3 linked regions of the Struthio camelus genome follow. The protein of the gene in region 1 purifies or fractionates together with the protein of each later gene. This does not show direct contact. Links are inferred from orthologs where the notes say so. Each region holds a gene or a part of one and is shown on either strand. Other genes may lie near its edges.

What was found.
Region 2: the proteins of PSMA3 (region 1) and PSME1 purify together in Homo sapiens (affinity purification with western blotting; 4 studies listed by BioGRID, with this or other methods). This does not show direct contact. The link is inferred for Struthio camelus from reciprocal best matches to the Homo sapiens genes PSMA3 and PSME1.
Region 3: the proteins of PSMA3 (region 1) and PSME4 purify together in Homo sapiens (affinity purification with western blotting; 3 studies listed by BioGRID and IntAct, with this or other methods). This does not show direct contact. The link is inferred for Struthio camelus from reciprocal best matches to the Homo sapiens genes PSMA3 and PSME4.

The regions. Positions count from the first base shown.
Region 1 is NC_090946.1:78,226,964-78,234,690, reverse strand, and holds the start of PSMA3 (proteasome subunit alpha type-3), read left to right. Parts: upstream 1-4,704; 5' UTR 4,705-4,886; coding exon 4,887-4,907; intron 4,908-5,654; coding exon 5,655-5,737; intron 5,738-6,825; coding exon 6,826-6,949; intron 6,950-7,727. UniProt on the Homo sapiens protein: Component of the 20S core proteasome complex involved in the proteolytic degradation of most intracellular proteins. This complex plays numerous essential roles within the cell by associating with different regulatory particles.
Region 2 is NC_090970.1:244,259-251,375, forward strand, and holds the start of PSME1 (proteasome activator complex subunit 1), read right to left. Parts: upstream 3,064-7,117; 5' UTR 2,999-3,063; coding exon 2,984-2,998; intron 2,808-2,983; exon of another isoform or gene 2,449-2,807; intron 2,385-2,448; exon of another isoform or gene 1,849-2,384; intron 899-1,848; exon of another isoform or gene 869-898; intron 850-868; coding exon 754-849; intron 1-753. UniProt on the Homo sapiens protein: Implicated in immunoproteasome assembly and required for efficient antigen processing. The PA28 activator complex enhances the generation of class I binding peptides by altering the cleavage pattern of the proteasome.
Region 3 is NC_090944.1:119,473,573-119,481,341, forward strand, and holds the start of PSME4 (proteasome activator complex subunit 4), read left to right. Parts: upstream 1-4,697; 5' UTR 4,698-4,754; coding exon 4,755-4,933; intron 4,934-7,769. UniProt on the Homo sapiens protein: Associated component of the proteasome that specifically recognizes acetylated histones and promotes ATP- and ubiquitin-independent degradation of core histones during spermatogenesis and DNA damage response.

The sequences.
Region 1 (7,727 bases):
ATAACACTGTACTCAGAACTGTCTCCAGTTATAGTTTAGAAACTTAACTCTGGCAAATAAGATGATATTTTGTCCTCCTCTGAGGAAATGATATGTAGTCATGAGCTGTTACCTAATGATTTGTTTGTTATTTATCTGTACAGTAAATTACATTGTTGAGAGAATTTGTTTTAAGATATTTTTATTTTAAATATGGTTAGAAGACTGAAGGACGGTCTACTGCAAGAAACATCTTTGGATGTTTTTCTGCCAAACTCTGCATAAAATGTTTCACCCATGAAATCATTTGGTTCACGTATGAGAACCTGTAGGAAATGGTTTGGAGCTGTTTAGCAAAAAGTACTGGGGCATTATTTTTCCTAGACAGTCCTGCTTTCGGAGAGTTAGGAGAGGACTTTTTTACCTTAACTTGTTGCACGGTGCTGAGCTAACAACTCTCCTAATATTTCTGCTCCAAGAAAGGATTCAACCATTAAATAATTATAAATAGGAGTGCAAGGAGAACTTGACTTTCTTACTGAAATGTCACATTGAGAAGTCACTTCTTTCTCCTCCTTCTCCCCCGTCAAAATACTAAAATTCATTGTCCTGCAGCAGTGTCTATTAAATGAAAATACAAAGCAGAGCTCTGAGAGTTACTGTGCGATAGCTATTGATATGGAGCCCAAAAGCAGTAAAACACTTAATGCTCTAAATAGGAAATCAAGTGAGTATTTTACTCTCGGCTCCTGGGATAAGGAGGCCAGTTCCTTATTTTGCTGATGCAACATAATTTTTTTTCACGCGTCTCCATGGGAGTGCTGAAACAGTTGCAGGCTTGTAGAGTTCAGCACTGCATTTTAATTACTCTTAAAGCTAATAAGTTCACCGTTTAAGAAAAAAGTGTACATTTGGATATTAACACTATAATTAGGAACTATAGGCTATTTAAAAGGCTGTTAGCAATGCTGTGACGTTACATATTGAAGAAGAAGGAACAGTCTGATGGGAAAACATGCATACGCGCTTAAATTCTTCTGCTAGAGCTGCTATTTTGGTTTGTCATGGTTCTTGCTGTCCTTTCATGATGCTGCCTTAAATAACTTTGCGTGCACAGCTGTGGCTGCCAGTGGATACTGAGACGGTGCCAGTGCATCTCAGCAACATCGCTTCTTGGGACAGGCATTTCCACTGGCCTCGGAAGGCCACTAAATTTGCCGCCAGTATGCCGAACATACTGAACAAAGGGGTGACCCTGCTGTTGCCTGGTGGTTACTGAGGTTTAAATCCTGCCCAAGGAGGTGTTACTTAGCTCAAAACTTTGTGGTGCGTGTGCGTGTGTGTGCGTGAGTAAAAAAAATTATTGGGATGGGGTTGGAATCTGATTATGTCACACCTTTTATGGCTGATTTCCCCATGCTGTCTGCTAACTGCCTGCTGTGGTTCCTGAAACACAGTTCTAAAGCATATATTTAAAGAAAGATTCTTGTGGTGAAACTTAACTCTGGCAGCGTGCTGTAGCATTTAAATAAGCTTCTGCTCTCGTTTGTCATTCTCTTTCACAAATGCTGTACCTTCGCATGTGGTGTTAGTTGACAAATGATAGTAGATGCTCCCTTTTATCTTAATGATTTTAAATAAAAAACAGGAATCACTGCTTAAAGTGTTATACTCTGTCATATGTGAGATGTTGCTGATAACTCACAGTGGCCTGATAGGATTAACCCAGATGATTTCCCTCCAGTGGTGTTGGCAGGTATATTTTTTAATCATCTTCTTCCTAGTATGTTAGCTTCAAATCAGGTGCTTGGCTGTTACACAGAAAGTATGGAAAAATAAACAAACATAGCTGTGAGCAGTTGTTAATGATTTATGGTATTTTATAGTCCCTGGATGAGTTTGCTCTTCTAGCGATCGTATCCGAGTCCTCCAAGCGCGCTGGGCCCGGCCAGTGCCGCCTCTTGGCTCTGATGCAGTCCAAACAGTCTCTAGGTTTGCAGATTAAACCTTTTCCATAGATGGTGATTACCACCCACAAGACTTTCCTGCAGCAACCTGAGGCCGCTAATGGTATGGCATGATACAGAAACAGGGTTCTTCAGCATAGACTATGATCTCTCTGTCAGGCTCTAGCCTGGACTTGGAAAAATGGGTTAAACACTAGAGATACCTGTATGCCCGTTGTGTCTGGTATTCAGCATTCTTTTAAGTCTGAGAGTTACTCTGTTCTTGCTTGCCTTTGCTCTCTGTCTCCTTATGTCATTCTTGACCATTGCTGATGCCCCTTGTACAGCCTGTTCCAACTCACTTCAGCTCCACTCCTCTAAGCCTGTGATCCTTTAATGGTCTAGTATCCTTGAGGATGTCAGCGGCGGATTCCTCAAATACCAGCATTCCCCTTATTCCTCTGTGCATTCAGGGCCTTTAGTCGAACTCCACTTTATCATGTTCTCTGTTACCAAACCCTTTTTACCTCCCTTACAGCAAGACCGAGGACTACTGTGTTGCAGGCAAGACTCAAGAGTGTCCCCTCTAGCAGTGCCCTGCTATGTGCTGTGCTGCTCCGCTGCAGTACTGTGCCATAAGCTTCCTCCCAGGGCACCTAAGGCATGGGCAGCAGGCTCAGGAATCCAACTACTCTGGCAAGACAACCATTGAGTGAGGTCTGCCTCTCATTAGAGGACTGAATGAGGGAGAAATTAATGGGCCTAATACTTAGTGCATGATGTTTGAGCAGTCTGGAGCAGCCTGTGGCAGGTGTTTGGGATATCAGCATTCTCCTGAGGGACTTCAGAAAGTACCTATGATTGCAACAGTTCTGCTTTAAAGGAGCACATGAGTAAAAATACAGTTGTAGAGACCAGCCTGCTCCATCCTTGCTCTTAAACTTGTTCCCAGGCTGTGATATGATTACAGACTTTGTGGAAAGGAGCTATTTCATTGCGGGGTGCGTAGAGCCATCCTTAGAACTGGACAGAGAACATTCAGACCCAAGTTCTGTTGCTCATTTTCATTTATAATGTGAATAATTGGGATGCAGCCTCATGACATACATTCTGAAGAACGTACGGGGAAGATCAGAGTCCTACACAGTGTGCGCTTGTGGTGTTAACATGGTTTAATTTTCCTGAACTGCAGCAGGTAGAAGTCAAGGAAATTCACAATATTCTTACTCATTCTCTCGGCTGTGTGAACGTCTTCAGTGGTATTTCTGTACCTGCTGGGCGTGCACATCCCAACAAGTTTCACAAGCCCTGCATGTGCTGCCACCTCATCTTCTCTCTGCCCGCTCTGCTCTTGTAGCATTTCTGCATCACTGCACAAACTGCACAACTAGAAATTTTAAGTCCTACAGCACTGGCAGGTTTAAACCAGAGTCCCATGACCCACTAAGCATAGAAACAGGATTTTTATGTCATTGAAGGGGAAAGGAAAGATTATTCCCTGCTTCTCAGAACTGCTAGTCCTGCACAGCCCTTACAGATCACATCTTAAATGTTTTATCATATAGAGAAGGATTTCGCTTTTTTTTTTTTCCTCAGCATAAATGTGACAATTCCTCCCTCCCTGGCGTGACGTGGATCCTCCGGGCAGACGAATCCAGAGTAGAACTTAAACGTTTTAGCAGGGAAGACAGTAATAGAAATAAACGGCTGGAGTAAATGGAGTTTTTTTTCCCCCTGAAGTTCTCACATCTTGTCTGGATGCTGCTCTGGATGTCTCGCTTCAGCCAAGCGAATAACTAGAGCCAAGTCACGCCGAGAGTAGCGAGGAGGTGACGGGGCCTCCTGCGCGGGAGCTGACCCGGCCCCGAGCTGCCGCAGCCAGGCGAGGCCGAGCGCGCGTTCTGCTCCGCGGAGCGTTTGGCGCCCGAGAGCTGCGTTATCCCCGGCTCGCTTCCCTCGGATCGCGTACGTGGGCGCGCGCGTGCGGGGCTGCAGGCAGGAGAGAGGCCTGGAAAGGAGCGGGGCTCGTTTGGCTGGTGCGAGAGGTCCGCTCCGTGCTGGGAGGTTGGGTCAGGCGAGGTTTGAGGGCAGCTGGTTGCTTGAAGGAACTGGGCCAGACTGGAAAGTCTTCAAAGCTGGGAGGACGGTCTCTAGCGGGACTGGCTTTAACAGCCTCCCCTAAACGCACCGTCCAAGTAGTACAGCATTTATTACGATCGCCGCTAAACTTCGGTGCAGCATGACCGCACCGGATGCGCTGCCTTTCCGAGCTCCTGGGCGCGCTCCGATCCCGCCGGCGCAGGGAGGGAGACCAGCTCCCGGGCTCCCCAGCACCCCGCTCCCTCCCGGACGGGAGGCTGGGGGAGACGCGCGTGCCTCCACCCCCAGGCTCTGGGGCCCCAAAACAGCCTCCGCGAAAAAGTGCCAGGGAAGCAGGTGAGGGGGCCGCTGGACGAAGGGATGACGCAGCTGGCTCCGGGGGAGCCCTCCCAGCAGCCACCCCGCACAGCGGCAGCCTAAAAGCGCAGCGAGTCCCCCCCAGCCCGCAGACTTGCCAGCGCGAAACTCTCCGGCAGCTGGGGCAAAAAAAACACGTGTGCGCCCAACGTGGGGCTCGAACCCACGACCCTGGGATTAAGAGTCCCATGCTCTACCGACTGAGCTAGCCGGGCGCCGCTGTGGTACGCTCCCGCCGCGCGCTCTTGGCGAGTTGACGGTCGCGCGCGTGCCGAGCGGCCTGACGTCACCAGCCTGCGGGCGGCTCCTCCCTCGGAGCCCCGCCCCGCCTGCCCTCGCCCACTCCGCGAAGGGAGATTTGAAGCCCTCTCCAGGGGAACGCTGATTGGCCGGTGCGCCGGCCAATGGGAGCGCGCGTTGTTGGGCCGTGAGCGAGCGTGAGTGAGCCGGCGGCGGGAGGGGGCCCCGTCGGCCTGGACCGAGCGCGTCGCCGCCGCCGCCGCCATGAGCTCTATCGGCACCGGGGTGAGTGCGGGCCCCGTCCTGTCCTTCTCCCTCACTCACCCGCCCCGGGCCGCTTTGTGTCAGCGGGGGGGGGGCGGGGGGCGAGCAGCCTGCCCCCCTCGGCCGCTCCCGGCGAGGGCGGCCGCCGCCGCGGCCTGTCACTGCCTGCGCGGGCCCGAGGCGCCGTCACCGCCGCTGCTGAGTCACTGCGGCCCGTTAGGCCGCGGAAACGGAAAGCGTGAGGCGGGGGGAGGAGCCGCCGGTGAGGGGGCGGGGTGAGCGCGCCCGGCCCGGCCCGGCCCGGGGGGACCCGCCCGGCGGGTGGGGGCGAAGCCGCCTCAGGGCCGGCCCGGGGCGGAGCCGGTAAGCGGAGCCGAGCCTCGTGTTGCGCAGCTGCTGGATTCCCCTCTCGGCGCCTGCGCTCGGATCCCGCGCGGGTTTCCCGGCCTGGCAGAGGTCCGGCAAAACGTACTGTGCTTTCAGAACTACAGGGTGTCTGGATCGAGCGGATTAGAAGTATGAGTGTATCTAGCGCGGATGCAGCGACTTTCTGTAGTTGTTAGCCAGCGTTTGCTTGTTGCCGTTCATGCACCTAACGTGAGAGAACAGCCTGCTTATGGTGCTTAATACACGCTGCTGTCGTGCAAATGACAGTCTTGCAATTTTAAATAAATAGACCTGTTCTGAAAAGGCTTACTCTGAAAAAGGGCATTAAAAAAACTGTGGGATGTAATGCTTTTTGGCTGAGTAGTGTGTTTTCTTCTTCAGTACGACCTGTCAGCTTCCACGTTTTCTCCAGATGGCAGAGTATTTCAAGTTGAATATGCTATGAAAGCTGTGGAGAATAGTAGGTAAGATACAAATATCTATCTGTTTCTTAGTTGGCATCTCTTTAAACAAATAAAAACGATGGCTTTGCAGATATAACTTCTTCTGATAATGTAATTTTGAGCAGCTCTGTCCCTATCCTCATGTTAAGAGGTTTGGAATAAAATCTAAAGGCATATAACCACTTCTGCTTGTTCTGCAGTGTGGTAGAAACAGAGATAATGTTGCTGAGAATACAAAGGCAAGCAGTATACTTACTCGTGCGTGTTAAGGGCAATAAAAGAGGATCGCAGGACTCATTAGTATGTGTAAGGTGCTTAGCTATTATGGCAATACAGGTGTAGAAGTACCTAAAAGTCCATTTTATGGCTGTGAATTGAGGCACTGGAAAACTGTGACTTGCTCAAGGCCTCATAAATTTATAGTAACATCATTTGGCTATTCCCAGTTTCTTGAGGAATGTATGTCACTCTAAAGCAATAATGTCTGCTTCCTACGAATATGTGTCTTCCTTCAGGCAAAGGAAAGCTGTAAAGCAAAAATCCCAGCTGTGCTTGCTAGTAGCAAAAGTGAGATGGATTAGCAGGGCATGGACAAGATCAACACGGGTGTCTGGTCACAGCGCATGCTACCTACTAAGGATTAGTGAGAGTATTTTGTGTGGGGTACAGCTTGTGTCATGTTTGGTGATTTATGCTTGATCATGCCTTCTTGGAGGTTAGAGACTGTCACATTGCTTAGATCCTAAATTTACCAAAGAGGAGAGATTAAACAGTCCCTTGTTTTCATATTAGTATTGTACGGCATGTGCTTCTCCAAGACAGTGCTACAACTGCATGTCGTCTTGTCCAGAATTACTTGGACAGGGACTTGGCAGTCCCCTCCACCTTCACGTAAGAACGTTTTTGCAGGTTTAGTGAGCTTCCCGCTCCCACCTCCACCCCTGTCTTCAATGTTAAAATGGAGTCATACTTAGATCATACCATAGATCTGCTTCTGTGGAAAATAAATCATTATTTTTAGCATTTTGTTAACTCTCTGTTATTTACCTTGACGTCTAAATCCATTGCACTTCTGTGTAAGTGAAACTTGCATTGATCTTGTTTTTCAGTACAGCAATTGGGATAAGGTGTAAAGATGGAGTTGTGTTTGGAGTAGAAAAACTAGTTCTGTCCAAGCTTTATGAAGAAGGTTCCAATAAACGTCTCTTTAATGTTGATCGACATGTTGGAATGGTGAGGTGCTATTTAACTTTAATTTTTCACAAAGGAATCCCCCCGAAGTAGATGCATGTGGATCAGAGAATCAGTAATGAATAGATGAAGTAATATAACTTTTTCTACACACATAGTCAGAAATGCCAATGGATTTTTAGATTGTTTTGTGTAACTTACTCTTGGTTGTGTGTGAACGTACGTTTATTAGAAGTAAAATATGAATTTAAAATAGAAGATAGGTGCATATTTTGAGGCTATTCTAAATTTATTTGAAGAAGTTGTGCTAATATTCCTATTCAAATTTGAATAGGGTGTTAAAGTTGTCTTTTGTTAACTCGGTAAACAAATAAGGCATGTTAAGAAGCAAAACCTACTTATGCCATGTCACTTATGTACAAGAGTCTCTTTTCCATCTTAATGATCTAGGAGTCAACTGACTTCTGTAAGGGCTACCATGTAGATTTTATAGATTACTGGCTAATCTATAATAGTAATGTCTGCATAAATAGTGGTTTCTGTGTGACAGAAATGCCTGAAAGTATACCTACTTACGACATCGCTAGTATTGGGAAGGGAGTCGGGTTTGCTTGTAATCCAGAAAAAAATCATACAAAACAGAAAAGGAATGCTACATTGCTATGGTTATCTTTTTTCATATTGCTGATGTTAACATAGTCTAGTGGTAAATCATAAGACACTATTTAACATGAAGATGACTTCACTTTATGTGTTAGTACAGTATAGAGTTTTTCTTTAGGAAAATCAGTACCATGTTCATACACTTTAATTGTTAACA
Region 2 (7,117 bases), on another chromosome or scaffold:
CCATAGGGACCTCATGGAGCTTCTTCTGCCCCATAGAGACCCGCTGGAGACCTTCTTCTGCCCCACGGAGACCCCATAGAAACCCTCCTCTGCCCCATAGAGACCCTCCCCTGCCCCATAGGGACCCCATAGAGCCTCCCCTGCCCCATAGGGACCTCATGGACCTTCTTCTGCCCCATAGAAACCTCCTGGAGACCCTCTTCTGCCCCATGGAGACCCCATTGACCCTCCCCTGCCCCATAGAGACCCCATAGACCTTCCTGTGCCCCATAGAGCCCCTCCCCTGCCCCATAGGGACCCTAAAGACCCTCTGCTGCCCCATAGAAGCCCCATAGAGACCCCGTAGACCTTCCTGAGCCCCATAGGGCCCCTCCTCTGCCCCATAGCGACCCCAAAGACCCTCTGCTGCCCCATGGGGCCCCCATAGATCCCAGCCCCAGCCCCAAAGACCCCGTCCCCCGCCCCACAGACCCCCCCCAGCCCCACAGACCCCCCCCAGCCCCACAGACCCCGCCCCCTGCCCCATAGATCCCGCCCCCGGCCCCATAGATCCCACCCCCGGCCCCACAGACCCCGCCCCCTGCCCCATAGATCCCGCCCCCTGCCCCATAGATCCCACCCCCGGCCCCACAGGCCCCGCCCCCAGCCCCACAGACCCCCCCCCAGCTCCATAGATCCCGCCCCCGGCCCCATAGATCCCACCCCCCGCCCCACAGGCCCCGCCCCCGCCCCACAGGCCCCGCCCCCCGGCACCTCCAGCAGCGCCTGCAGCTCGGCCACCTTGGCCGGGAACCCGGCGCCCAACAGCGCCTGCACCTGGGCCGCCAGCCGGGCGCGCAGGGCCTCCTCCTGCCGGCACCGCGGCTCTGCCCGGACGCCTGGGCCCGCGCCCGGACGCCTGGGCCCCGCGCCCGCGCGCCTGGGCCCCTCCCCGGACACCTGGGTCCCTCCCCAGACACCTGGGCCCCTTCCCTGGACACCTGGGCCCCTTCCCCGGACGCCTGGGCCCCGCGCCCGCGCGCCTGGGCCCCTCCCCGGACACCTGGGTCCCTCCCCGGACACCTGGGCCCCCTCCCCGGACGCCTGGGCCCCTTCCCCGGACACCTGGGCCCCTTCCCCAGACGCCTGGGCCCCTCCCCGGACACCTGGGTCCCTCCCCAGACACCTGGGCCCATCCCCGGACGCCTGGGCCCCTTCCCCGGACACCTGGGCTCCTTCCCCGGACACCTGGGCCCCTTCTCCGGACACCTGGGTCCCCTCCCCGGACGCCTGGGCCCATCCCCGGACACCTGGGCCCCCTCCCCGGACACCTGGGCCCCTTCCCCGGACGCCTGGGCCCCGCACCCGGACACCTGGGCCCCTTCCCTGGACACCTGGGTCCCTTCCCTGGACGCCTGGGCCCCTCCCCAGACATCTGGGCCCCCTCCCCGGACGCCTGGGCCCCTTCCCCGGACGCCTGGGCCCCTCCCCGGACGCCTGGGCCCCTTCCCCGGACACCTGGGCCCCTCCCCGGACACCTGGGCCCCTTCCCGGACGCCTGGGCCCCTTCCCCAGACACCTGAGTCCCTTCCCTGGACACCTGGGCCCCTTCCCCGGACACCTGGACCCCCTCCCCGGACACCTGGGCCCCCTCCCCGGACACCTGGGCCCCTCCCCGGACACCTGGGCTCCTTCCCCGGACGCCTGGGCCCCTCCCCAGACACCTGGGCCCCCTCCCAGACACCTGGGCCCCTTCCCCGGACACCTGGGCCCCCTCCCCGGACGCCTGGGTCCCTTCCCCGGACACCTGGGCTCCTTCCCCTGGACTCCTGGGCCCCTTCCCGGACGCCTGGGCCCCTCCCCGGACACCTGGGCCCCTCCCCGGACACCTGGGCTCCTTCCCCGGACACCTGGGCCCCACTGCTACCCATCCTGCACCCTAGATGCCTGGGCCCCGCCACTACCCACCCTGCAACCCGGACACCTGGGCCCTGTCACCCCGGACACCTGAGCCCCACAACAACTCGCCCTGCACCCCGGACGCCTGGGCCCAACCACAACCCGCCACCCGGACGCCTGGGCCCTGCCGCAACCCACCCCCCGGACGCCTGGGCCCCACTACCCAGACACCTGGTCCCTGCACTCGCCATGCACCACCCCGGACACCTGGGCCCCACCACCCGGACGCCTGGGCCCCACGCCCACCCTGCACCCCAGACGTCTGGGCCCTGCACACACCCCGCCACCCGGACGCCTGGGCCCTGCCACAACCCGCCCCTCCGCCCGGACCCTGCACCGCCCGGACGCCTGGGCCCCACTGCAACCTGCCACCCGGACGCCTGGGCCCTGCACACACCCCACTGCCTGGACACCCGGGCCCCACATCCACCCCGCTGCCCAGATGCCTGGGCCCCACATCCACTACACCCCGGACGCCTGGGCCCCACATCCGCCCCACCGCCCAGATGCCTGGGTCCCGCTGCCCGGACGCCTGGGCCCCACTGCAACCCACTGCCCGGACGCCTGGGCCCCACTGCAACCCGCCACCCAGACACTTGGGCCCCACACCCACCCTGCACCCCGGACGCCTGGGCCCCACCACAACCCGCACCCCGGACGCCTGGGCCCCACATCCGCCCCACCACCCAGATGCCTGGGTCCCGCCACCCGGACGCCTGGGCCCCACTGCAACTCGCCACCCGGACGCCTGGGCCCCACCACCCCACACCCCGGACACCTGGGCCCCTACGACCCCCTCAAGCCCGGACGCCTGGGCCCCTGCCCCGCCCCTCTGCAGCCTCTCTCTTCCCCTCCCCTTCCCCGGACGCCTGGGCCCCTCCCCGTTCGGACACCTGCTCCCTCTCCGCTCCCCTCCCCCCCCCCAACCCCGGCCCCGCTCCCGGACGCCTGGGCCCCCTCCTTCCCTCCCCAAGCCGAGCTGCCCGGACATGCCCCGGACGCCTGGGCCCCCCCCCGGCCCGGACGCCTGGGCCCCCCCCCGGACCTGCGGTGCAGCCATGGGGGCAGCAGCGAGAGCGAAAGCGAAAGCTCGGGGGTTCCCCGCGTGGGGGGGGGGGGCGGGGCCAGTGCGCCCCGCCCCCCCCGGACGCCTGGGCCCCCCCGGAAAAAAAAAAAAGGGGAAAAAAATTACCCGAAACCACCCCAAAACAACACGTTTTATTCCCGGGGTTCCCGGTCCAGGTAGCGGGGGGGGGGGCAGTCCCATCCCCCCACCCCAAGCCGGACGCCTGGGCCCCCACCTCACCCGGACGCCTGGGCCCCCCCGTCCCCGCCAAGGGGCCTGGCGGGGGGGCAGGGGGGGCCATCGCTGAGATCGGCTCGCCCGGACGCCTGGGCCCTTGCCGGGGCATGGCCGGGGTTTTGGGGGAGTCCTGGGACGCCCTCCCGGACGCCTGGGCCCCTCCGGGAAACGTGGCTGCCCTGGGCTTTCGGGGCTTCCCAGGACACCCTCCCACCCCTCCCGGACACCGGGGCCCCTCCCGGACGCCTGGGCCCTTCCCAGATGTACGGGTAACCCCATTGCCTGGGTCACCCGGACGCCTGGGCCCCTCCCGGACGCCTGGGCCCTTCCCAGATGTACGGGTAACCCCATTGCCTGGGTCACCCGGACGCCTGGGCCCCTCCCGGACGCCTGGGCCCTTCCCAGATGTACGGGTAACCCCACTGCCTGGGTCGCCCGGACGCCTGGGCCCCTCCGGGACGCCTGGGCCCTTCCCAGATGTACGGGTAACCCCATTGCCTGGGTCGCCCGGACGCCTGGGCCCCTCCCGGACGCCTAGGTCCTACCCAGATGCCCGGGCGCGCCTTGTTGCGCGTAGGGTCGCCCGGACGCCTGGGCCCTTCCCGGACGCCTGGGCCCCTCCCGGACGCCTGGGCCCTTCCCAGATGTACAGGTAACCCCATTGCCTGGGTCGCCCGGACGCCTGGGCCCTTCCCGGACGCCTGGGCCCTTCCTAGATGTACGGGTAACCCCATTGCCTGGGTCACCCGGACGCCTGGGCCCCTCCCGGACGCCTGGGCCCTTCCCAGATGTACGGGTAACCCCATTGCCTGGGTCGCCCGGACGCCTGGGCCCCTCCCGGACGCCTAGGTCCTACCCAGATGTACGGGTAACCCCATTGCCTGGGTCACCCGGACGCCTGGGCCCCTCCCGGACGCCTGGGCCCTTCCTAGATGTACGGGTAACCCCATTGCCTGGGTCGCCCGGACGCCTGGGCCCCTCCTGGACGCCTGGGCCCTTCCCAGATGTACGGGTAACCCCATTGCCTGGGTCACCCGGACGCCTGGGCCCCTCCCGGATGCCTGGGCCCTTCCCAGATGTACGGGTAACCCCATTGCCTGGGTCGCCCGGACGCCTGGGCCCCTCCCGGACGCCTGGGCCCTTCCCAGATGTACGGGTAACCCCATTGCCTGGGTCGCCCGGACGCCTGGGCCCCTCCCGGACGCCTAGGTCCTACCCAGATGTACGGGTAACCCCATTGCCTGGGTCACCCGGACGCCTGGGCCCCTCCCGGACGCCTGGGCCCTTCCCAGATGTACGGGTAACCCCATTGCCTGGGTCACCCGGACGCCTGGGCCCCTCCCGGACGCCTGGGCCCTTCCCAGATGTACGGGTAACCCCATTGCCTGGGTCGCCCGGACGCCTGGGCCCCTCCCGGACGCCTGGGCCCTTCCCAGATGTACGGGTAACCCCATTGCCTGGGTCGCCCGGACGCCTGGGCCCCTCCCGGACGCCTGGGCCCTTCCCAGATGCCTGGGCCCCTCCCGGACGCCTGGGCCCTTCCCAGATGTACGGGTAACCCCATTGCCTGGGTCACCCGGACGCCTGGGCCCCTCCCGGACGCCTGGGCCCTTCCCAGATGTACGGGTAACCCCATTGCCTGGGTCGCCTGGACGCCTGGGCCCCTCCCGGACGCCTGGGCCCTTCCCAGATGTACGGGTAACCCCATTGCCTGGGTCGCCCGGACGCCTGGGCCCCTCCCGGACGCCTAGGTCCTACCCAGATGCCCGGGCGCGCCTTGTTGCGCGTAGGGTCGCCCGGACGCCTGGGCCCTTCCCGGACGCCGGGGCCCCTCCCGGACGCCGGGGCCCCTCAGCGGGGCTGCAGGCCCAGGCCGGGGCGGCCGGGCGAGCAGGGGCAGCGGTACCAGAGGCGGTAGGTGAGGGCCCAGGCGGCCCAGCCCAGGCCGGCGCCGGCGGCGTTGCAGGCCCAGTCGTGCCGGTAGGCCAGCGTGGCCGCCAGCAGCCCGTGCCACAGCAGCAGCAGCGCCACGTTGAGCAGGAAGAGGAGGCAGAGGGCCGTGCCCGGACGCCTGGGCCCTTCCTCCTCCTCCTCCGCCTCTGTTCCCCGAACGCCCGGACGCCTGGGCCCCTCGGACTCCTGGGCCCCCCACAGCTGCCCGGGCCCCTCGGACTCCTGGGCCCCCCAGGGCCAGGACGACGAGATCGCACCCGGACGCCCGGGCCCCTCGGACTCCTGGGCCCCCCAGGGCCAGGACGACGAGATCGCACCCGGACGCCCGGGCCCCTCGAACTCCTGGGCCCAGCGGAGCGGAGACGAGGAGCCGAAGCCCGGACGCCTGGGCCCTCGGGGAAGCTCGCGGACAGGGAGCAGCAAACGAGGAGCCCAAAAGGGGGCGGGGGCCCGGGCAGCCGGACGCCTGGGCCCCGGCGGCGGGTGCAAGAGGCGGCCCAAGGCGGCGGCCTCCTCGGCCAGGCCCAGGCCGCAGTGCACCAGGGCGAAGGCCTGGGGCGAGACGGCGAGACCCTCCCAGCGGTGGCCGCCGGCCCGGCAGGCGCCGGGGTCGGCCTGGGCCGGGGGCGGCGGGAGGCCGCGGCGGCGGGCGGCCGGCAGGCAGCGGCCGGTGGCGGCTTCGAGGGCGGCGAAGAGGCGGGGGGCGGCGCGGGCCAGGCCGGCCGCCACGGCCAAGCGGCCGCCGGCTCGCAGCAGGGCGCCTCGGCGGCCGCCCCCCGGCCGGGCCAGGGGCCAAGCGGCCACCAGCAGCCCCCCGGCCAGCAGGGCCGTCCAGCCGCCGGCCGAGGCCACCAGGCGCCTGCGGGAGACGGGGGGGGGGGGGGGGAAGATGGCGGGTCGGAGTGGGGAGATGGTGGGGGGGGGGGGGGCCGGATGCCTGGGCCCCCCTCCCCTGGATGCATGCTTCCCTTTCCCGGACGCCTGGGTCCCTTCCCCGGACGCCTGGGTCCCTCCCCGGACACCTGGGCCCCTCCCCGGATGCCTGGGTCCCTCCCCGGACACCTGGGCCCCTCCCCGGACGCCTGGGTCCCTCGCCCGGACGCCTGGGCCCCTCCCCCGGACGCCTGGGCCCCTCCCCCGGATGCCTGGGCCCCTTCCCCGGATGCCTGGGTCCCTTCCCCGGACGCTTGGGCCCCTTCCCCGGATGCCTGGGCCCCTCCCCGGACACCTGGGCCCCTTCCCCGGATGCCTGGGCCCCTCCCCCGGACACCTGGGCCCCCTCCCCGGACACCTGGGTCCCTCCCCCGGACACCTGGGTCCCTTCACCGGATGCCTGGGCCCCTTCCCCGGACACCTGGGCCCCTTCCCCGGATGCCTGGGCCCACTCCCCGGACGCCTGGGCCCCTCCCCGGATGCCTGGGCCCCTCCCTGGACACCTGGGCCCCTTCCCCCAGATGCCTGTGCCCCTCCCCCGGACGGCTGGGCCCCTCTCCCGGATGCCTGGGCCCCTCCCCGGACACCTGGGTCCCCTGTCCCGGACACCTGGGCCCCTCCCCGGACACCTGGGCCCCTCCCCAGACACCTGGGCCCCTCCCCGGACACCTGGGCCCTTTCCCCGGACACCTGGGCCCCTTCCCCGGATGCCTGGGCCCCTTCCCCCGGACGCCTGGGCCCCCTTCCCGGACTCCTGGGCCCCTCCCCAGACACCCGGGCCCCTTCCCCGGACGCCTGGGCCCCTCCCCGGACACCTGGGCCCCTCCCCAGACACCTGGGCCCCTTCCCCGGACACCTGGGCCCTTTCCCCGGACACCTGGGCCCCTTCCCCGGATGCCTGGGCCCCTCCCCAGACGCCTGGGCCCCCTTCCCGGACTCCTGGGCCCCTCCCCAGACACCTGGGCCCCTTCCCCGGACACCTGGGCCCTT
Region 3 (7,769 bases), on another chromosome or scaffold:
GTTCAGTTCCCTGGAGCAGGAGGGGAGAGGAGCAGCTGTAATTACTGCTCTTTAGTGTTTACACCAGCCAAGGAGCTGGTTCCGCCTTTAAATCCTTGCAGCAATTCAGTTTCCCTGAGGCAGGGGAGCATACCCTTCCAGAGCAGGCAGTAATTACAGACTCAGGTCTCCATCCTGAAAGGGAGCAGCTCCTTGCAATTAAAATGCCCTTGTTAGGGTAAAGATTTGCAGGCAGTACTTACAGATGCTTATTCTTGGAGAAAGTAAGTTACTACCACCTTGCCTGAAAGTTGGTGAGCAGCATGGCAGCAGCTTCTTCAGGGTCTTTGGAGTCTTTCACCACCTGCTTTGGATGACAGACCGACTGAGACACACTGGGATAAGAGTAAGTCTGAGGACGCTTCTGTTTCAAAGAAGAAAGCAAATTATGCTACTGTATTTTGTAGTGGGGTTCTCTGAGGTATGGGGGTCACGGACCAGGACATATCCTGTTGGATTGGGTGTTATTTTCCAAATTGCAAAATACACAGAAGCCTGTCACTCACCAAATTCCACTCTTAACTTAGGTCAGAAAGGACAGATGGGTCACTAAACAAAACGTCCACGTGGGAAAAGAAGTTGCTTGAAAGATGAGATAGTAGAAACCACAGTTCAGGCTGAGTGACAAGTTTCCTAAATACTGATGACAGTGCTGGTGTTAGCTGACCTACGGCAGCAAGCCATCCAACAAGGGAACGTGTGAACAATGTGCAACTTGACATAAGCCCCTGTTAACGTCTGAAATTTCTCATGAATGGAAAGACTGTATTTTTTTCACAACTTCAACACTTAACTTGGATTCATCAAATCTCAAGATTTAATGCCAAAAACAGCAGGTGGCAACCATATTTAGTTTGCTCTCAATTCATATTCCTCCTACTTAGTAAGAGAGGAAAAAGCTATTGATGCAAGCAGCACAGACGGATTCCTTGTTGTGAAAGCTAGTTCTTTATCATCTGACTCGGGAACCAAATGTGCTTTTACTCACTGCTACAGCCAAAACACATTGCAAACTTGAAGAACAAATTTATTTTTAACTCACTTGGTAAAACATATCTGTAAAACGCATTGTTTTTCTCCTTTTAAACAGTAGAATGTTAGCATACTAGGGGAAAGAAATGGTTCATTTTTTTTAAATTGACAAATGTTATTAGTAAATTAATCAATATACAGAAAATAGTTGGAAAGTACAAGTACTATATATATGCTTTTATGTATGTAATTACAAACGGACTCAGAATCATCTCTTTCCTCATTGCAGATTCTGAAAACAAGAATCATATTTCTCAGAATGAGAGGGTCAGATTATTTAGCATGATGACTTTAATGTGATGATCTTGTTGACTTCGCACAATCTTTCCTGAAAGGTAGGTGTTTAATTCCAGTGGAAGGCACTTGCGTGTCTGAGGTAAAACAGTCACAGATGTGGAGGTCTGCTGGTTCAGATGAAATGAGCTCCCTGAGGTTGGGAATGTTTATTCAAATTGAAAAACACCTAGAAAAGTGTGAAAAATTAAACTCAGGCCCAAAGGGCAGAAACTGTGGTTTACATATTCAGATATTCCCTGAATATCTACAGTTCTAGTTTTTTGTGATAATGTAGAGATGAAGCAACAGAATGCAGCTTTGAAGTTCCTTACATATCTGCCGATTTCAATTTCAAAAAATTGGACTATAACTGATTTTTTTTTTTCCTTCCAAGTCTAAATAAACTCTGTCATTCTTCAAATGTAATGAACATTTTTCCACACTGGAAATTGCTGTTTGGACAATCCACTATCACAACTGAGTAGGAAAAAAGATTTGCCTGTAAATGTTAGAAAAGAAGTAATTTCAGATTTCTTAGGTTCAAGACACATTTAGAATATTCCATAGACATTTTCACTTACCCTTAACCATGGATTTTTTTTTTTAATTTCAGCTTCTGAGCCACTTAATCAATTGACTCTTATCTAAATTTATGATAAAACCATTTATTTCATGGTGTTCAGATACACCTTTTGTTTATTCCTCTTTTTACCAGCAAAATAATAAACAAGACGTAGTTGTCCACATAGAAATTTGACCATCAAGTTTCATTTTTTTTAACTCCTGAACACAAATTCATGTATAGATTGTTCTGCATAGCGTAAATATGAGGCAAAAGAATCTAATTTTAAAGCCACTATGAAAGATGTCAACAAATACCCTCCAAATCACAATTAAAATTATAGTAAAAATAGACATAGGTGACACAAAATCTTTTAGGAATTGAAAGATATTTGAGAAGTATTAAACACACAACAAAATTGTCATATTTTCCCTATTAAAGGTATAGGTCTAGGAAAATGAGAAAAGGTAGAATTAACTTTGTTTCTTCAGTATCTGTTCAGAAAGGCTGGACCCCTTCTAATACGTTAGTCAAGCGAAATTAGCAAAGTATCTGTTTATCCTAGTCTCAGCCCATAATGCAGAATAATGACTTTCACTAAAGCTTTGAAAAAAGGAGTAATTCGGTGTGCTAAAAGTGGTTATAAACTTTTGCTTTCCCAAAACGTTACGGGAAAAATTCATGATAGGAAAGCTATGGAGTAGCATAGAACCACCTTTAGGCCCCTGGTAAAACCATATTTATATAATGCTGATTTACTAGTACTTTTCTCCAAAAGAACATTATAGCACTGATTATTACTTGACCCCTGTAAAGCAAAGTAGTGTCACTCTTCAGACACATGAATATAACACGAGATCATCTCCTGCTGCACAGTTTTAGTATTGCTCTGCACTGATAACAAAAATAATATCTGAGACAGAAGTCGTATAAGGATATGGAGTAAATATTTTCTTCACGAAAATGCCATGGGAATATTTGAGCATCACAGCCTTTGCTTATCTTACTTTGGTTTTCTGTGGCTTTCCTTCTCATTATAAAATGCTTCAGCATTTAGTTAGCCATTTAAAAAAAAAAAAATTAAGCAGAGCTAATCTGAGTATAAAGATCAGAAAACAGGATTTGCCCTTGTCAGCAGCTTTAAATCTAATCAGCTTGCAGCTGTTGTATAGTCATGATGTAGTTCTTGAGGGGAAATTCAATTAACAATTATATTTAGGAGACAGCTGGAGATAACAACCATCAGTACTGTTATCATATATCCATCACAGGCTTTATCCTACACCCATAGAAGTCAACGGCAGGACCAGGCACCGCTGAGCTCCGCTTTACTGACTGGCCTTATTATTTCAAATAAATATCTTTAACAGACAGTTACAGAATCTGCTACTAAACTCTGTAACTGATTATCGCCAGTGAAGAAGTCCATCCTCATTCCACGTTTATACACCCTCTTTTAGCACATAATGAACAAGAAGGCAGGGCAGCAGAAACACAACTTTCTGCTATTATGCAAGTCTAAGCATCAAATCTCTATGATCACCTGCACTGTGCTCTGATGGCTTCGGACCTCTAGAAGTCTCCCTGCTTCTCGATCAGACTGCAGGTATTGACACTCTCAGCAGTTTATATGCAGATTCTTAAAGGCTGTCAAATACCAGTCTCCAAGGTACTCAGACATCTAACTGTGAAAATCTCAGCCCCTGTGAGGAAAAGGTTTATGTAGTTTATACAGTTTGTATCAGTAATGGAGCATGCATTTAGCTCACAACTGCTAATGTAATGGATCTGGATACCCAATTTTAACCAAAAATAAATACGTTTGGGAACAACTAGCATCCAACTGTCCTAAACTGCAGAAGTTAGAAGAGAACTGAAAGATGAATGTTTTTATTATGATCTCTATGTTGGGATCAGAGCAGCTTTACAAAAGGGCTCTTTAATAAACCACAAAGCCACAAAAAGTGAATTCTAAACTTGGGTAGGAGTTATGGCCTTTCCACAAAGTCATTTTATTTCGGTGCCTAGGGCAGTATCTTGACTACAGCCACCCCTTTTGCCCCAGTTCTCTTGAGTCTGCCACAGGTTATTTGGATATCCCATTTGTCCCTAGTTGACAGAATTAGGAGATACAGCTACCGCTCGGCACAACTGTCAGAGGCAGAGGGAAAGTGCTGACTGTGGATAGTAAGGAAAAGCATACCCCAAACAGGCTAACTTACCGAATTGCTGTGCCACTGTTACTGACACAGGAAAAGAGCAGCGAACAAGCCCAGGTAGGCTCCCAGAATAAAACGTGACAGCACCTCTTGAAAACTGATGCTGCTTAAAGCAACTAAAGGGCAGTACAAATGAAACGGTACAAAGCACGAGCTTTGTTCTCGTTAATTCTAGGTTTGTCCCCAGGCAACGCCTGTGGTGTCGCCGAAACCGAAACGTAACAACAGGTCGCCAGATGATCCAGCGAACGACCCTCCCCCGCCGCCGCCGCCGCCGCCCGGTTCCCCTCAACTCCGGCGCAGGCGGCTTCAGCGCAGCCGGTAACGCGGGACGCGGTCTCCTGGCGGGCACGGCCGTTAACGGCCGCCCTGCGCGCGCGCTCCGCCCACCCGGGCCCGCTGCAGGGCAGGTGTCCGGCCAGCAGCGGCGCTTCCCCGCCGTGCTCGGGGACCCCCCCCGCCCCAACTCCGGCGCCGGAAGTGACCTCGGCGGCGCGGGGCGGCGGCCGTTCCTTCGGCTGTGTCGTCACCGCGCACCGCTGGGCGACTCGCCGGGGGGGGCCGAGCCGGGGCCGGGCCGGGCCGGGCCGGGGCAGGGCGCAGCGCAGCGCAGCGCAGCGCCGGCCATGGCGGCGGCGGCGGCTCCGCAGAAGGAGATCGTGTACAACAAGCTGCTGCCGTACGGGGACTGCCTGGAGGCCGAGGCGACGCGCTTCCTCGCTCAGATCAAAGGCAACCTGGCCCGGGCCGTGCAGCTGCAGGAGCTGTGGCCCGGCGGGCTCTTCTGGACCCGGAAGCTCTCCACGTGAGTGCGGGGCTCAGCGGCCCCCGCCGGCCGTGAGGGGCGGCGCCGGCCGGTCCGCTGCCGCCAGGGGTCGGCAGCGGCGGGGGTGGGAGCGCGGCGAGCCGGGCGGCTGGGCCGGCCCCTGGCGGGGAGCTGCGCGGCCAAGGCCGGCGGCCGTTGTCTCGGGCCGCTGATAACGGCGCTGCCCGCGGGGGCCCGGTCGGGGGTGGCGCAGGTTCAGGCCGCGGGTTGAAGCGCCGCGGAGCGGGGCCCGAGGGCGCTGCCGGGCGCCGTGAGGCGAAGCCGGGGTGACTCACGGCTGCCCGGCGGGCCAGGCGCACGCCTGAGGGCCGGGCGGGCCGGCGCTCGGCAGAAGCGCGTTGGTTTCCTAACGGTTACTCGCCAGCGAGAGCGGGGCGGTTGCCCTCGGCCGCTGCCGGGGCGCCGAGGGCCGCGGGGGGGGGGCTGCGGTACGTGCGCTGAGCGGTGCGCGGCCTCCGGGCCGGAGCGAGGCGGGCTCAGCCGGCCTCTTGCACAAGGCCACGCAGTGCTCCGAAACGGGAAACCGGGACAAAGGTGGTTTCGTTTCCCAGAGCTCCTCTGTCGTCTTAGAAGCTTTCCGAGTTGTATGAATCGAGCTGTTTTCTTTTTAAATGCGCGCTTGACCACCTGTTTCTTTTCTTGCCGTTTCAAGCAAGTTACGGAAGATACTATCTCTGTTCACAACTTTTGCGGTAGGAACATGAAGTCTTTCTGAAAACAGGCTGCTTGTGCTTTTGTTAGTTCGGCGCTGGAAGGATTAAATTCTGGTTTTGCTGCTGGGTTAACAAAATTAGTGCCCTAGTTTAAAATAATAATTAAAAAAAATGCCTCTATGTCTTGCCTGTACTGTGGCAAGGTGCAGTTTATGTTGGCTCTAATGTGAGTGCTGACAAGATGATTTTTATATAGATTGAAAACACAGTGTTTTCATACCAAGCAGAGTGTGGAATTCTCTTAGTAAATTTTACAAGACTTACTTACCCTTTTTTTTTTTCTTCACATGTGCTATTCTGGCCAGTCTGGCACTTAAAAAATGGTGTCAAATGACTGCTGTAGTTTCAATCGGCACACCTTATTCCTCTGAATATTCTCTTCTTGATGAACGTTCTGTGTCCCTTCATACTTGGTGTTTTCTATGAGCTAGAAATGGCAGAATGCGTGCATTTGGTAGAATTTATATTCATTTGCAGTTTTACTTCTTCTATAAGGTAGGGTTCTTTTTTTTTTTTTAAGTATTGGGAATTTAATAAATATCTGGCTGTCAAAAATCTGGTTGGTACACATGTATTGAAATGTAAGTGACCTTATGTTTGCCAAGAGGCATTCTTAGATAGAATTACATTGATAGTTGCGAAATGACTCACATGTTTACATTCAGAGACGATCTGAACCTGCTTGGACCCAGTTCAGTACTCTTCCCCCCCCCCCCCCCCCTTCCGTAGCCATCTGCTAGCTCATGCCGTTTACAGTGATGCCTGTTGTCTTTGGACTTGTGGCAGAACTTCATATGCTAATCAAGCTGAAATAAACTGTAGCAGTGCTTAGTAAGAGAAAGATGTACCTTAGATAGGGTAGTAACTCCTGCGGTTACCTGCTTTGAAGATGTGCGGGTATAGGTTAGAATTAACCTGCTAGTCATTCTGTAAACTGTAATTACTGTTATCAGTTTAGGCTTCAGGGCAGTGAATTTAACCTGTTGAGAACAGCTGCTATGCTAACTTTATGAATCACAAAAAGGGCAGAGGCTCTAATTTCTGGTTTTCCACCTACTCTTTGAAGTTTAAATTTACTGTGTGTGTTTTATAACTTGTCTGATGCCTGTTTTTCCCAAGACTTCTTTGTGGCATATTACATGCAGTAAGACTGAATACGTTTGGATGTAGGCAGGGAAGAAAACTGTGGGGTTGGTTTAAAATAAGCTAGTATAGTTAACATTAGAGATATTTTGCTTGCTCAGTTTAATTTGGCAAAACGGTTTGGTGGGATAAAATATTTCAGTAAAAGTTTAGCTCTAGATGAAATACTTCCAAAACGTACAAATATGGTGTTCTGATTTGTCATGCCTAAGTCAAATTATAACATAATGACAGTAAAACCAGAGCTTTATTATCTGTTCGTAGTAAGTAGTTCATCTCATTGTCAACTTTATACCTTTTTTCATGCTAGCCAGCTATAATAAATTGTGCATTTGTTTAACCTGAAAATGATCAGAATTGTCATAAGATCTCTGCCTAGTTTATTACATGTCTATATTTTAAAAGTCAGTATTCTTATAATATTCTGTGAAGTAATTTATAAATTGGAATTATGGCTGGTGTGTCTTGAATCTTTCTTGTTCAGATAAAAATGCTAATATAGACAGACAATGTAACATATGCAAACATATGAATTAAAAAAAAAAAAAAAAGCATGCATGGGTTATATACCTGTATAGCTCTACCTCTTCAGGTACACTGCAACTTTATACAGCTGTGCATAGACTCTGGAGGTATGAGGAATGAAAGTGAAAACTCAAAATGGGAATTTTTTATACGAGTTACTGTTTCATGATGACAGCTGAACCAAAAATCTTGTTATTTCTTGTAGTGCAACAGCTGAGAACATGACTTACATGTAGTTTTCTTAAATGCAGCTGCTTCAGCTGTCTGATGTCGTGAATTGAGTAGGGAAAGACGTCTAAAACTGGGATTTGTTAGATATAATGTCTGTCAGTTAATTTGCATAATTGTTCTTGTATGCATAATTTTCAGTGATGTAAATGGAGTCTTTCATTGGAGTGCTTATACAGAGTGTGGTAAGAAAACTTTCTCTTCTG